2 linked regions of the Drosophila melanogaster genome follow. The protein of the gene in region 2 interacts with the protein of the main gene of each other region in a pairwise test. Each region holds a gene or a part of one and is shown on either strand. Other genes may lie near its edges. The genes, in order: Spx and PNUTS.

Region 1 (4,557 bases), on a different chromosome or scaffold from region 2:
GATACTTTTCAATGGAGGGTTTTCCGAACTTTTCGCTTACCAACCCATTAGTGTTCCCGCGGATAAGATTACTTTATATAAAACTTTGTTACCTGCTGAAAATAAACAGTGATTTTTTTACGGTATCCTATTGTAGTATTGCTATACTATTAAAATTTGACTTTAAATGCGGTTTTAATGAGTTTATTATTTTTGGTTTCCCCTTCCAAACGCTAGGTGGCGCCAGGGGAGTGTGTTCGTGCCGATCATATACTAAATAAATATATGCATACACACATACATCCACACATATGCAAACACTCGAAATTAAACAAATTGAAATGATGGCAAATGATATGGCGCAAGGCGGTGGGCAGTGGGTGGGTGTTGGGTGGTTGGTGGTCGGTCTGTGAACGGGGGACTGTGTCAACGGCGGTGCTGATTACAGAATAGAATATAGTAGAATATAGAATATATATATAATGTACACATACGCCCCGTGGGGCCTCTCATTAGAATGGCAAAATGTGCACAGTAGTTAATTATGCTTCCTTGGGTTTTTGCAGGAAAACACAGACCTTGTTCTCTACATCGGATAAACATTCTGAGTAAACATATAGTACACATGTCTCAATGGGTGTAATGTTTATAAACTCGAAGTTGACATAGCGAAGTTTATAGTGAGCTCTTCAACTTTTTCCTGTTACCGTTAAAGGTTTTAGACACGAAAATGGCCAGATTGCTAAGAGTATTTGGTAGTATATAGTATAGGGATCGAATAAGGCACATTATAAATGCGTGCTCACGTTTTTTTATTATGGCCGTTTATAATTCCAATTTGCCATTGACGTGGGTTGGCGAAAGGGGTTGCGGGGCGGGGGGTGCTGCCATAGAGAAAGGGTTCGTGGGAAGGGGAAGGTGGGCAGCCTGCAAGCTGCGAAATTAGGGCATCAAAGGCCACCTGACCAATCGAAGGGTATACACACACACATACTCGCACTTATATATATATACATGCGTATATACTTTCAAGCACACACTCTCACTGCAACTGGCGCATGTGTGTGTGTGTGTGTGCGTGCGGCTTGTTTACTGCCAGCACTTGACCTTAAAAAAATAAAAATGTAATTAATTGCTGGCCAGGTATGTAAATGCAGGTGAAAACAAACATTGTGTTGTATTTGTTGTGCCACACAACATACACACACACACACTCGAGCTGCACACTTTGTTGTTATCGAATTTTTGCACAGCGCCAGCCAGCAAACACGAAAAGTTCTCTATCTCATCATTTGCATTTGATTTTTTAATTGACCACCAAGTGTGGCAAAAAAAAACGATATAAAATTCAACACACATTCACACACACCGCACACACGCACACCACACACACGCAAATATGTAAATAAAAACATTAAAGACGTGCTCCGATCGGTTCTTGTTGGAATGACGACGATGGTGATGATGATGCCCCGTTTCCAATTGGAAACGGTTCAACCTTTTGAACCAAGTGTGCGTGGGGGGGTTGGGGGGCGTGTCCGGCTGGTTGGGCCGATAATGGTGCACATTCCGCCACCGATTTTCACCCAATTCGATCCGGATTCGGATTGGGATGGCTCTGTGCTTACTGTAAATGGTATTCCTTCCACGGAGCCAATGGCGAAGCACCGGTCGCCTGCATTGCAAGCGCCGCTCAAAATCTGATGACAATTCATAATTTACACACAGTTGATTATCACATCACAGCGCACGGATATTGGGGTCTTGGTTCTTTGGTTTCTAGCACGAATTTTCCTTGCTTCTTGTAACAAACGACAACAAAGTGACATTACATAAAAATTAGAGTTGGGTTCTTGGCCAGCGCGGCCAATCGAACTATCGATATTAGGGATGGCACGGCATGGGAGGCGAAATATCGCCTGAGTAATTTAAATACGGTTACTCCAATTAACCGAAAAACTGTTTATCATTTAATTAAAATATTATTATTAAAATATTTCATTTTATTTTCAAAAAATAGAGGTGAATATTTTAACCTATTGAAATTATATTTAATTATTCTGCTTCGTCTATATTTAGTATTTTTTCTAATATCCGTTCGATTTGATTCGATTTCGATATCAATTTCGATTGCCAATAAAAACGAAATCGTGGAATATATATCGATTCATGGTATCGATAGGCTGTTTCGATATTCAGGGTTGTGTTGCGAGCATTTTTGCATGTTGAAAACGCCGAAAATTAGTTTTTGGTTTTGTTTATAAAAATAGCTCCGAAATGGCGGCAGGTCCAATTGCTGAACGCAACCAAGGTGGGTTTGACCTCCACTCCACATTTGCACCACTTGGGAGACGCTTTAACCCGCCTTTTCCGTTCCTTCCACAGATGCCACCATCTATGCCGGCGGTCTTGACGACAAGGTGTCGGAAACGCTGCTTTGGGAGCTGTTTGTCCAGGCAGGACCAGTGGGTAAGTCCCGGACACACATGTATAGTGCCTAGCAGCTCCCTAATCGTCATGCTTGCAGTGAACGTACACATGCCCAAGGATCGTGTCACCCAAATGCACCAGGGCTATGGATTCGTCGAGTTCCTCAGCGAGGAAGACGCCGACTATGGAATAAAGATCATGAACATGATCAAGCTTTACGGCAAGCCCATTCGCGTGAACAAGGCGTCGGCGCATCAGAAGAACCTGGACGTCGGCGCCAACATCTTCATTGGCAACCTAGACGTGGAAGTGGACGAGAAGCTGCTGTACGATACGTTCTCCGCCTTCGGCGTTATACTGCAGACGCCGAAGATCATGCGAGACCCAGAGACGGGCAAGTCTAAGAGCTTTGCGTTCATCAACTTTGCCAGCTTCGAGGCCAGCGATGCGGCCATGGACGCCATGAACGGCCAGTACCTGTGCAACCGTCCCATTTCCGTGTCCTATGCCTTCAAGAAGGATCACAAGGGCGAGCGTCACGGTTCGGCTGCGGAGCGCCTGTTGGCCGCCCAGAATCCATCGACCCATGCAGACCGGCCGCATCAATTGTTCGCCGATGCACCGGTGCAAACCATGATGCCCCAGATGCCGGGCCAGATCCCGGCCCAGATGCCGGGCCAGATGATGCCGCCACCCATGATGGCGCCGCCGCCGCCGGTGGTGCCCGTTTCGAATAACAATATGGGCATGCTAGCACCGCCGCCGCCCGTTCCCCAGCCTGCACCGTTCCCAGCTACGATACCGCCGCCTCCGTTGCCACCGATGACCGGCGGACAGCCGCCGCTGCCGCCAGCAATGGGCATTCCGCCGCCGCCTCGCATGATGCAACCAAATGCATGGGCACCGCCCGGCATGCCTGCTCCTCCGCCCAGACCACCGCCCACCAACTGGCGTCCGCCGCCCGTGCCCTTCCCACCCACGCCCTACGCACGGCCCTATCAACCCGACGGCTACCAGTACTAAGTCTAGCGTGTAGTGTATACCAATTTGGACGAGACGAGAAATAAACATCAATAGGATTCATCAATGAAGCCTGCTCTGGGATATGTTAAGATTTCCATTCTTCTTTCTAATATGCATTTAACAACCGGGAAACCACTGGGAGACATTTAGATCATCATTGTATTTCCATTTAGTAGTCGCAATACAATCTTCGAATTCTTACAAGACGAAATTAAATAACTTTGAATAGAATTTTGAAATGAACGAAATGATTTGATATAAATTGACTCTCGATTCTTGATTTTTTTTTAAACGGAACTATTTTCAATAAACATAAAACGTTTACATTAACAAGTCTGTAAGTTTAATTTGAATGGAACATACGAAGAAAGCGATAATTTTTTTTTGTAATTTAACTAAGTATTTTTAAAGGGCTCCCTCTAATTTAATGTCCAATCCTTTGAAGTTATGTATAGAAACTAGCTTGTAGTTCAAAATAAACTGAGGAATGATTTTCCATTTATTGAAATGAAACTAGGATTCTTTTTTAGCATTCCCAAAATGATGCCGTCCCGCTTTTTTTCGAAACACGTTTGTTTTTTGGTCTTGTAATTTGTTTAGCATAAATTTATTAATATGGGAAACATACAAGTACAGTATTTACAATAGTTTTGACTACTATTCATTTTTTACTCTTCGTCTATTGAATTCTTGCCTAAGCGATTTTGGTTTAGTCCCACTGTGCTAACTTCCATTTCGTTTGGTAAAATAACTTAACTTTAGCTTTACGTTTAAATGGTTATATTTAACGTTATTTTCTCCTTCGTCTCTTTGCTTTTGCTTTTGTTTTTTTTTTTTTTGGTTAAGCAAGACAAACAACAACAAAAAAAAAACTGTGAGGCATATAGTAATAGTAATAGTAATAGTAATAGTTTTAATCAATAACGATGTACAAGCGAATCGTTACGCATCAATTTTCTCGCATTTATTTAAATTTCTTTTGGTTTTCGATTTGTTTCTTTCTTTTTTGTTTACCTTAAAAAAGATGTATATATAAAAAAAAATAATAACATAAAAACATTCTGAACTGGTTTGGTTTTTTTGTATGCGTCTGTGTGCGTGAGTGTGTGTGGTGTGTGTGTTCGT
Region 2 (8,272 bases):
CCCCGCTGCGCCAGATGCCGCCGCCGTTGTTTTTGTTCCTGTTGTTGTTGTTGTTGTTATTCCTAGGTCCGCCCATCATCAGTCCTGGCCCCATTCCATTGGGCGGCCCGTTCATCATGGGTCCATTGGGTGGGCCGTTCATCATGGGGCCGTTGGGTCCCATCACTGGACCATTGGGTCCCATTACCGGTCCCGGACCTGGTCCATTCATCATCATGGGCGGGTACTGATTGAATCCAGGTGGTGGGCCGCTTCCGAATGGAGACACTGGACTTCCAAACTGATTGCCCATAAAGTTTTGCGGTGGCATGTTGTTCATGTTCATATTGCTCATATCCATTCCGGGGCCACCGGGTCCGTTCATCATGGGCGGTACACCGGGCGGCCCACCTACCGGACCCATTTGGTTCTGCCAGATTTGCGGCGTTCCGTTGGGCACTTGATTTGGCATCATGTTTGGTCCGGGTGGCATTCCCGTGGGAGCAGGCATGCCTCCCATGAACGGATCGAATGGATTTTGCATTAGGTTCGGTCCAGCTCCCAGTCCGGTCAACATATTGTCATTGAAGCCCATGTCCGATCCGCTGATATTTGCTCCGACTCCCGAGCTAGGCGCGTATTTCTTGGGCTCCGGCCACGCCAAGGCACTGTAGTCGTTGACAGCATCCGGATTCCCCGTCAGGTCATCCATGGGTATCACGGGAATGTCATGAGCAAAATGCGGTTCCAGTTCCGCCTCCGCAGGACTGTCGGGAATCATGTCGGGCGAGAAGTACAGGGCTCTTAGAGTGGTGGCCTCCCTGTCCATCTGCACCTGGCGCTGCTTGGAGAGGTTTCCGTTCGGGTGGTCGGGCACATTATCGACTTCGAGTAGTGGCCGCCACTCCATTTGCGGCTCCATGGTATCGTCGAATCCACGCCGAGCAATGGTCAGCGCGTCCCGCTCGCTGAATCGCTCCATGTTCTTCATTTCCAGGAAGGTCTGCTTCATCACATTTACGCGCTCTGAGCGATCGACCTCGAAGTATCGTATCTGGGTGAGCTTTTCCTCTGACTGCCAGGTTAGCTTCTTTTTCGGGCCCTTGCGGCGGTGCAGCGTGAGCACTCCCGGTGGTCCATCGGGTCCACAGCCAGGTCCAGGCTTCTTGGGCTCCTCGGGAAGATCTTCAGCGTTGTCAGAGGTGTTACCCGCTTCTCCGCCTTCTCCGCCTGCCGCAGCCTTCGCCTTCTGCACCTTTTGCTCGATGTCCTCCTTGACCCTCTTAAGGGGAATGTCGTCGTCATCGGCATCCGTGTCCTTGCCAGGTGACGAGGAGCGCGCATCATCGTTTTCCTTGCTGCTGTCGTCCGACTTCTCCTCGCTCTTCGACTCGTCCAGAGTATCCTGGTAGAACTTAAGCGGCGCCAGTGGCGCGTCCTTGTCCGTGGGCGATGTTGCAGACGTACGCTTGCGCTTCACCACCTTTTTGGGTTCGATGGAGGCGGCCAGGGCGTCCGAGAACAGGTTGGTCTCCACCAGGGTTTGAACTGGAAAAATGAGGGTAAAGTAAGTAATCGCTCCAGTAATTGGTTTAGTTAAGAAAATGTTTAAGTGGCCTTCGTTGAATGGCCCATTGGCTTTGGTGGATTTTGCTTTTGCTGGAAATTGCTAGAAGTAAAAAAGTTATGGAAAGAAACAATCTGATCTGGACACACACATTTGTTGTGTTTATGATTGATTGATTAAGTTTACCCACATTTCGATAATTAATGAAATGGGAGTCTCTCTACTGGAATAAGCACCGAATATATACCAAAACCTAGAACTACTAAACAATTCATGAATTTTCCCCAAAAGTTCTTTAAAAGTTTTGGCTTGCTCGACTTTATTCGGTATAATTTCATATATAAATGTCAAAATGTAATTATTCGACTTTTTTTTATTTAACTAGTTTTTCAACACAAATAGTGTTTAATCATCATAATTAAAATAGTTATAAGCTCTCATTGCGATTGAAACTTGAGAAGTACGCTTATTAAAAGTGTATTGCTAAGACTACTAGTTATACGCAATAGTTAAACCTCTTTAAACTTTGATGCTTTTAGTATATTTATGTCAGCACATCGATAAGTGTCATTGGGTTTCCTCAGCACTAATCTACCCAAGGAACCCGACACTGCGATCAGATTACGCGCACCGTGCAGCTTACTGCCAAGGTGACGCATCCGCTGATGACGCACTACGACGAGGATGTGGGTAAACTAGGGTTGCCTGCTCTAGCGAGGCGAACAATTGTGGAGACCCTCGGTGACGCACGACAGCAAAATCGAGGCCAAAGCAAAGCAGCTGGGACTCAAGCCCACGGTGGTGATCGAACCACCTACCAACTTATAGAACCGCCAGCTTAAGTCAATATTTTCGTTTTCGTTTCTTTTGCGCTCAATGCATTTTTTTATTCAATAGAAAAATCGTATTTTTCTAGAGGAAACCGTATTTTATTTGTAAGTCTTTAAGGTGGGCTGCTCGCCAAGTGAATCTACATACCTTATAGCTAAGCTAAGCTAAATACGTTCAAGATTTGAGGTTTGAATACTTAACATCAGGCAGCGACAACGACGACGACGACGGCGGCGGCGGCATCGTCTGTGCCTCAGATTTCGTTTTCGTTCGGTCTCAGCGCATGCGCAGTGCCCAGATTTCGGGATTCAACTCCATTCAACTTCATCCGCCGTCATCCGGAATTGAGGTCATAGACTCACACTCGGGCAGCTTGCAGTTCAAACTCGATCCGGGGATAACACCGCCACGATTGATACATTATAATGCAAAGTACCCACACTAAAAGGCCCCACTTCTGCTCTACAATTTAAGACCCGCCCCAAGCAAAATTAAACACCTTGAGAATGGAATGGAGATCAACAAATAATACGGCGGAGTTCGACATTCGACTCCGATCGAAAACAAAAGCAAAAGCCACCAAAGTTCTTGGGCTGTGGAATAAAATAGAGAAGAGCATTAATAGTGATTCTAGCATCTGTTGCTTACTCTTTTTGGGCGCTATCAGCTTGGCGGCTCCGGGCCTCTCCACATGTCCCGCGACGTTGTTGATGTCGATCTTGGCCTTCTTGTCGGTGGACAAATCCCTGGGTGGCGGCGATGGTCGCTTCAGTGAAGACGGGACTGCCATTAAAGCGGGTGAAGCGGCAACCGCCGACGATGTGGGCTTCTTTAGGCCCTTGCGAGATGGGGGAGGCGGAGCCTCTTCCGTCAGGCCATGCGATCTGAATTTGGACTGGTACGTCTTTACAGTGGCCGTCTTTTCGGTGTCCCGGCGAATTTCTATCGAAATGGAGGCCTTGCGGGACATGATAGGAATCGATCTGGGCTTCTGTGCGTCGCTCTCCTTTGCCGAAGCTGTAGGAGATGTACCTGCAGCATTTGATGCTGCCACAGCTGGCGGAGGCATTAGCTTGTTGTCCTTGTCCTTGTCCTGCCTCGAGGATGAGGATGATGACGAAGTTGACGACGACGACTTGCGATCTTTGGACGAACTAGAACCAGAGCTGCTCGACGACGACGACGACGACGACGAGGAGGACTTTGAGGACTTGTGTTTATTCGAGGAAGAAGAAGACGAACCGCTGCTGCGCTCCCGGTCCTTGCTCGAGCTGGAGGAGCCGGAACTTGAGCGAGCCTTGTCTTTATCGCGGTATTTATCGCTAGAACTGCGATGGGAAGAGGAAGAAGATGAGGAGCTCTTGGAAGAACTGCTCTTCGAAGAGGAGGATGACGAGGAAGAGGACGACTTATGGCTAGATGAGGAGGACCTATGACTTGAACTTTCCTTCTTTCTATCCTTCTCGCGCTCCTTCTCGGACCGTTTACTTTTGTCGCTCTTTGAGCTCTTATGCTTCTTATTATCCACGTCCTCCCCAGACTTAACCTCCGCCGCGGAGCTACTATCATCTAACCCGGACTTTTTCCCCAGACTAGCATCTGCTAATAAGTGGGTTGCGGAGGAGCCCTTTTCCAGATGTTCCACCTCGTTGTCTTTCGATTGTGTGCCAGAATCCGTTTCGTCGCCACCATCTGGGTTGTCCAACAAAGGCTTCCACTTGATGGTAATGCTGTTGGAATTGCTACTGTTGGCCGCCGAGGTGATGGTATACGTCACAGGTGCTCCGGCGCTATCAGTGCTGTCTGAAGAAGAGGCAGAGTCCGGAACTGAAGCGGAGCCAGCTCCAGAAACGGATGCAGGAACCTGAGAGGCAGTAGTGGCTGCAATATGTGGCGCAGCACCTTGGATCGTCATGCTTGTGTTTTCCGTCACAATCTTCAGCCACTGCTCTACCAAACGCTTGGCTAGAATGCGTACACCTGGAAAACGGGGTCGAGAAAAGCCAATTAGTAATCCCTAGGTAATTAAAAGCATAAAGGACAGCCCAAAACATGACCCAAAAACACTAATCTACGACTAGAGTAAGACTTATCAAAGAAAACTTACCTTCGTTGCCGCCATCCTTGCACAGCCCCTTGACCAGAATAGGTGCTGAGTTTATCTTGAGGCGATTGACATCCACGGGAGAAAGGAGCAGCAGTTCCAGGATCTCCTGTACCAGCGGCCAGTTCATGGCCCTGATGGCATCATTTAACCAGGTGTAGACCAGCGACCAACCGCCCACCGCCATAAAGTCGCCCAATAGTTCCGTCTTTGTGGATTTCAGAATTTGTACATACACACATTTCGAGACGAGTTTTTTTGAATACTTGGCCATCAAACTGTGGGCGAAAAACTTGATATTAGCAAACGCCGATAGGTGTCGCTGCTGACAAGTGGTGAACTTACCCCGAAATGCGTTTCACCTCCACTGCACTTAAAATTCCACCATTATTGTCCAAAAGCACCCGCAGGCACCTCAGCAATTGCAGTGGAACTATACGAGGCTGTCGAATAAAAACATTAAATAAAGCACAACTGTTGTTGCATTTCCTAGCCAATATAACTCACCATTTTCTTTGTTAGTCGTGCGAAAGAAGAAAATTTATCTGGCAACGCTAACTCCCTATAGCCGTCTCTCTTCCACACTTGTAGGTGTGACCATACGCAACGTGTGCGCGTGTGTTGGATCGTGCGTGTGTGCACCGACACTCGCTTTTGTTGGTATGGGTGTCTTAATAGATACTAAATTTCCACTGATTACGTAATTCCATAAGAATTCGCTTTTTCAAGGACTGCAATAGTATCTAAAATAGGAGAAAACACCAGTCTGAGAACAAATTTAGCAGGATAAAATTTTGCTATATCCCTACAATTCACTTTTAAGACGAGTATTAAATAAATTCCAGCAGCAGCGCCAAAATATGATAAATGCTGTTATTTTATTGTCTCAACTGGCAGTAAACCAATAATCCCTCCGCTTGAATGTTTTGTTTTTTGTTTTGGAGCTGCAGAAAACGTGTTTTACGCGTTGCGATTTTTTCAGGCACTGATGAAATTCGGACGTGTGCTCGCGGCTATCGGTAATCGATAAGCCAGTGCAGCCCTGAAGGCTGTCCACTCTCAGAAAACCGAAAATTATATATTACGACGTATTGGTATTGATACGAAAACATGCGTTCGTCTGAACGTTTGTAGCACAAATGTCTCTCTACCTCGTTTTTGGTTACAACCCAAATTTGACTTTAGGTACAAGCAAAATGTGAAAGTTACTTAGTTTTTCTGTTAAAGCAGGTTGGCAGCGCCTTGCCACGCACACAACAATGACGCCATTTTGATTTTCACAATTTTTCACAAAGGCGTAATTAAATCCGCAGCCAAGGGAAATGCTAGAAAATTGTCTTTTAATAGCAACTTCAACAATATCGGCCACTTTATATTGATTTTTCTTTGTTTAATCCTAATTATCGGCTTTCGTTCACGTCCACGCCCCAAAATTGGACATGCGGTTAGGTCCGCACACTTAGGTCGAGCAAATCGGTAATAAGCCTTCCAGAAAATATATATTAAATGTACAATTGTTTATCGGCCTTACAATTTGTTAAATATTTAATTGGCGACGATTTTTCTATCTCTCCGAAAACTCCTGCGTGCGCTTTGCTTAGGCTCACAAAATCGTGTGACCTTTCCTTGCTTGAAAATAAAAGTTTGTTTAGAAAATACCAAAACGCATAGTCGGAATATGGTAATCTAATTAATACCCCTATTTTGAAAGTACAAACAATAATTATTTACTTAAAAACACTTTTAATATAAATGGATTTAGTTTCCCGTTAACAGTTTCAAAAACTATCCACGGTGGATAATAGCGAATGCTATAAAAAGAAATTTATTGAATTAAGATTTTAATTCATCTTAATTATTCTAACACATATAATGGCATAAGTTATAGATACCCTGAGCTCTTTTTCAATTAAATAAAATTTGTGAAGGTGTCAGGGCTAAATCATGTATTGTTTGACTTATTTCTTATATTTTAGATATTCAGAATTGCATATTTTATTAGTATTGATGTACCCAATATCCTTAATATTTGAGTTACATTGGAATCGCAATTTTGTTAAGGCATTTATCTGGCACACGATCAAATATAATTGTATTTGAATATATATTTTAAAACATTCTCAATCGAAAAATTTATTTTATAATCAAGATAAAAATAAACCTTTAAATAGGTAATCTATCAATAATATTAACCAACCAGTTTTCCCTGATATGGTCACACGCATTTACCGCTGATCTGGCAGCCTGGCCAAAACAAGCGTGCAAGAATCTTACCTGTAGAATTAGCTTCTGAAAACTCGAGTAACGATGAGCGAAAGTGAAGCGGAGGAGACCAAAATCAGCACCGAGCCGGTGGACAATGCGTGGTCCATGAAGATCCCTGCCTTCAGGCAGGAGGACAACCCGCATGGGATGGTGGAGGAGAGCTCCTTCGCCACGCTGTTTCCCAAATATCGGGAGCGCTATCTTAAGGAGGTTTGGCCTCTGGTGGAGCAGTGCTTGGCGGAGCACCACCTGAAGGCGGAGCTAGATTTGATGGAGGGGAGCATGGTGGTGAAGACCAGTCGCAAGACCTGGGATCCCTACATCATCATCAAGGCGCGGGATATGATCAAGCTGATGGCCAGAAGTGTTCCCTTCGAGCAGGCCAAGCGGGTCCTGCAGGACGACATTGGGTGTGACATCATCAAAATCGGAAACCTTGTGCACAAGAAGGAGAAGTTCGTGAAGCGGCGACAGCGTTTGATCGGACCTAACGGCGCCACCCTTAAGTCCATTGAACTGCTCACCGATTGCTACGTTTTGGTTCAAGGAAACACAGTCTCCGCCTTGGGTCCTTACAAGGGCCTTCAGCAGGTGCGGGATATAGTCCTGGAGACCATGAACAATGTGCACCCCATATACAACATTAAGGCTCTGATGATCAAGCGGGAGCTGATGAAGGATCCGCGTCTGGCCAACGAGGACTGGTCCCGATTCCTGCCCAAGTTCAAGAACAAAAACATTAGCAAACGCAAGCAGCCGAAGGTCAAGAAGCAAAAGAAGGAGTACACCCCATTCCCGCCCAGCCAGCCGGAGAGCAAGGTGGACAAGCAGCTGGCCAGCGGAGAGTACTTCCTCAACCAGGAGCAGAAGCAAGCGAAGCGCAACCAGGAGCGCACCGAAAAGCAGAAGGAGGCGGCCAAGCGCCAGGACGAACGCCGAAACAAGGACTTTGTCCCGCCCACGGAGGAGTCAGCTGCTTCAAGTCGGAAGAAGGAGGATGGCTCCTCCTCCAGCAAGGTGGACGTGAAGGCCCTGAAGGCCAAGCTGATCAAGGCCAACAAGAAGGCGAGGAGCAGCTGATAGTTTTCCTAGTTTTAATTAGTAGTAGGACCTATTCAATAAAAATTGATTTTCTGAGCAACGTGTAAATAGAAATCTTAAGGTTTACTAATGGGATGAAAAGTTTGTGGGGACGAACTCGTATTAATTCTAGTTGTTTTTAAAAGCCAATCTCCAAAAATGCAATGGATACATAATGCTAATTCAGCATATAACATGCTGAATACCTTATACTTGTAATAAAATTAAATTAAATACTTATACAATAATTTTGATTCTATTGCGGTGCCCGCTAGTGTAGAGAGAGATCTCTTTCTCTCCCTCTCTCTCTCTGTCGCACTCTCTCAACAAGTGGCTTAATACAAATATATACAAACAACTCAAAAGGCCAGCGAATGAGCCAAGTTAGTACGATTTCTGGTACCGGACTGACATGTACTAACCGCGCTTAAACAGCGGATGACGCT

What was found.
Region 1: the proteins of PNUTS (region 2) and Spx interact in a two-hybrid assay, tested with the Drosophila melanogaster proteins (one large-scale study listed by BioGRID).

What each region holds. Positions count from the first base shown.
Region 1 is NC_004354.4:6,253,655-6,258,211, forward strand, and holds Spx (spliceosomal protein on the X), read left to right. Parts: upstream 1-2,167; 5' UTR 2,168-2,256; coding exon 2,257-2,290; intron 2,291-2,364; coding exon 2,365-2,448; intron 2,449-2,506; coding exon 2,507-3,432; 3' UTR 3,433-3,942; downstream 3,943-4,557. Other genes in the region: Rbcn-3A (Rabconnectin-3A), read right to left, coding at 1,608-1,694.
Region 2 is NT_033779.5:868,293-876,564, reverse strand, and holds the start of PNUTS (phosphatase 1 nuclear targeting subunit), read right to left. Parts: upstream 6,101-8,272; 5' UTR 6,013-6,100; exon of another isoform or gene 5,225-6,012; 5' UTR 4,992-5,224; coding exon 4,989-4,991; intron 4,925-4,988; coding exon 4,827-4,924; intron 4,760-4,826; coding exon 4,485-4,759; intron 4,358-4,484; coding exon 3,026-4,357; coding exon of another isoform or gene 2,847-3,025; exon of another isoform or gene 2,416-2,846; intron 1,528-2,415; coding exon 1-1,527. Other genes in the region: dbe (dribble), read left to right, coding at 6,789-7,826.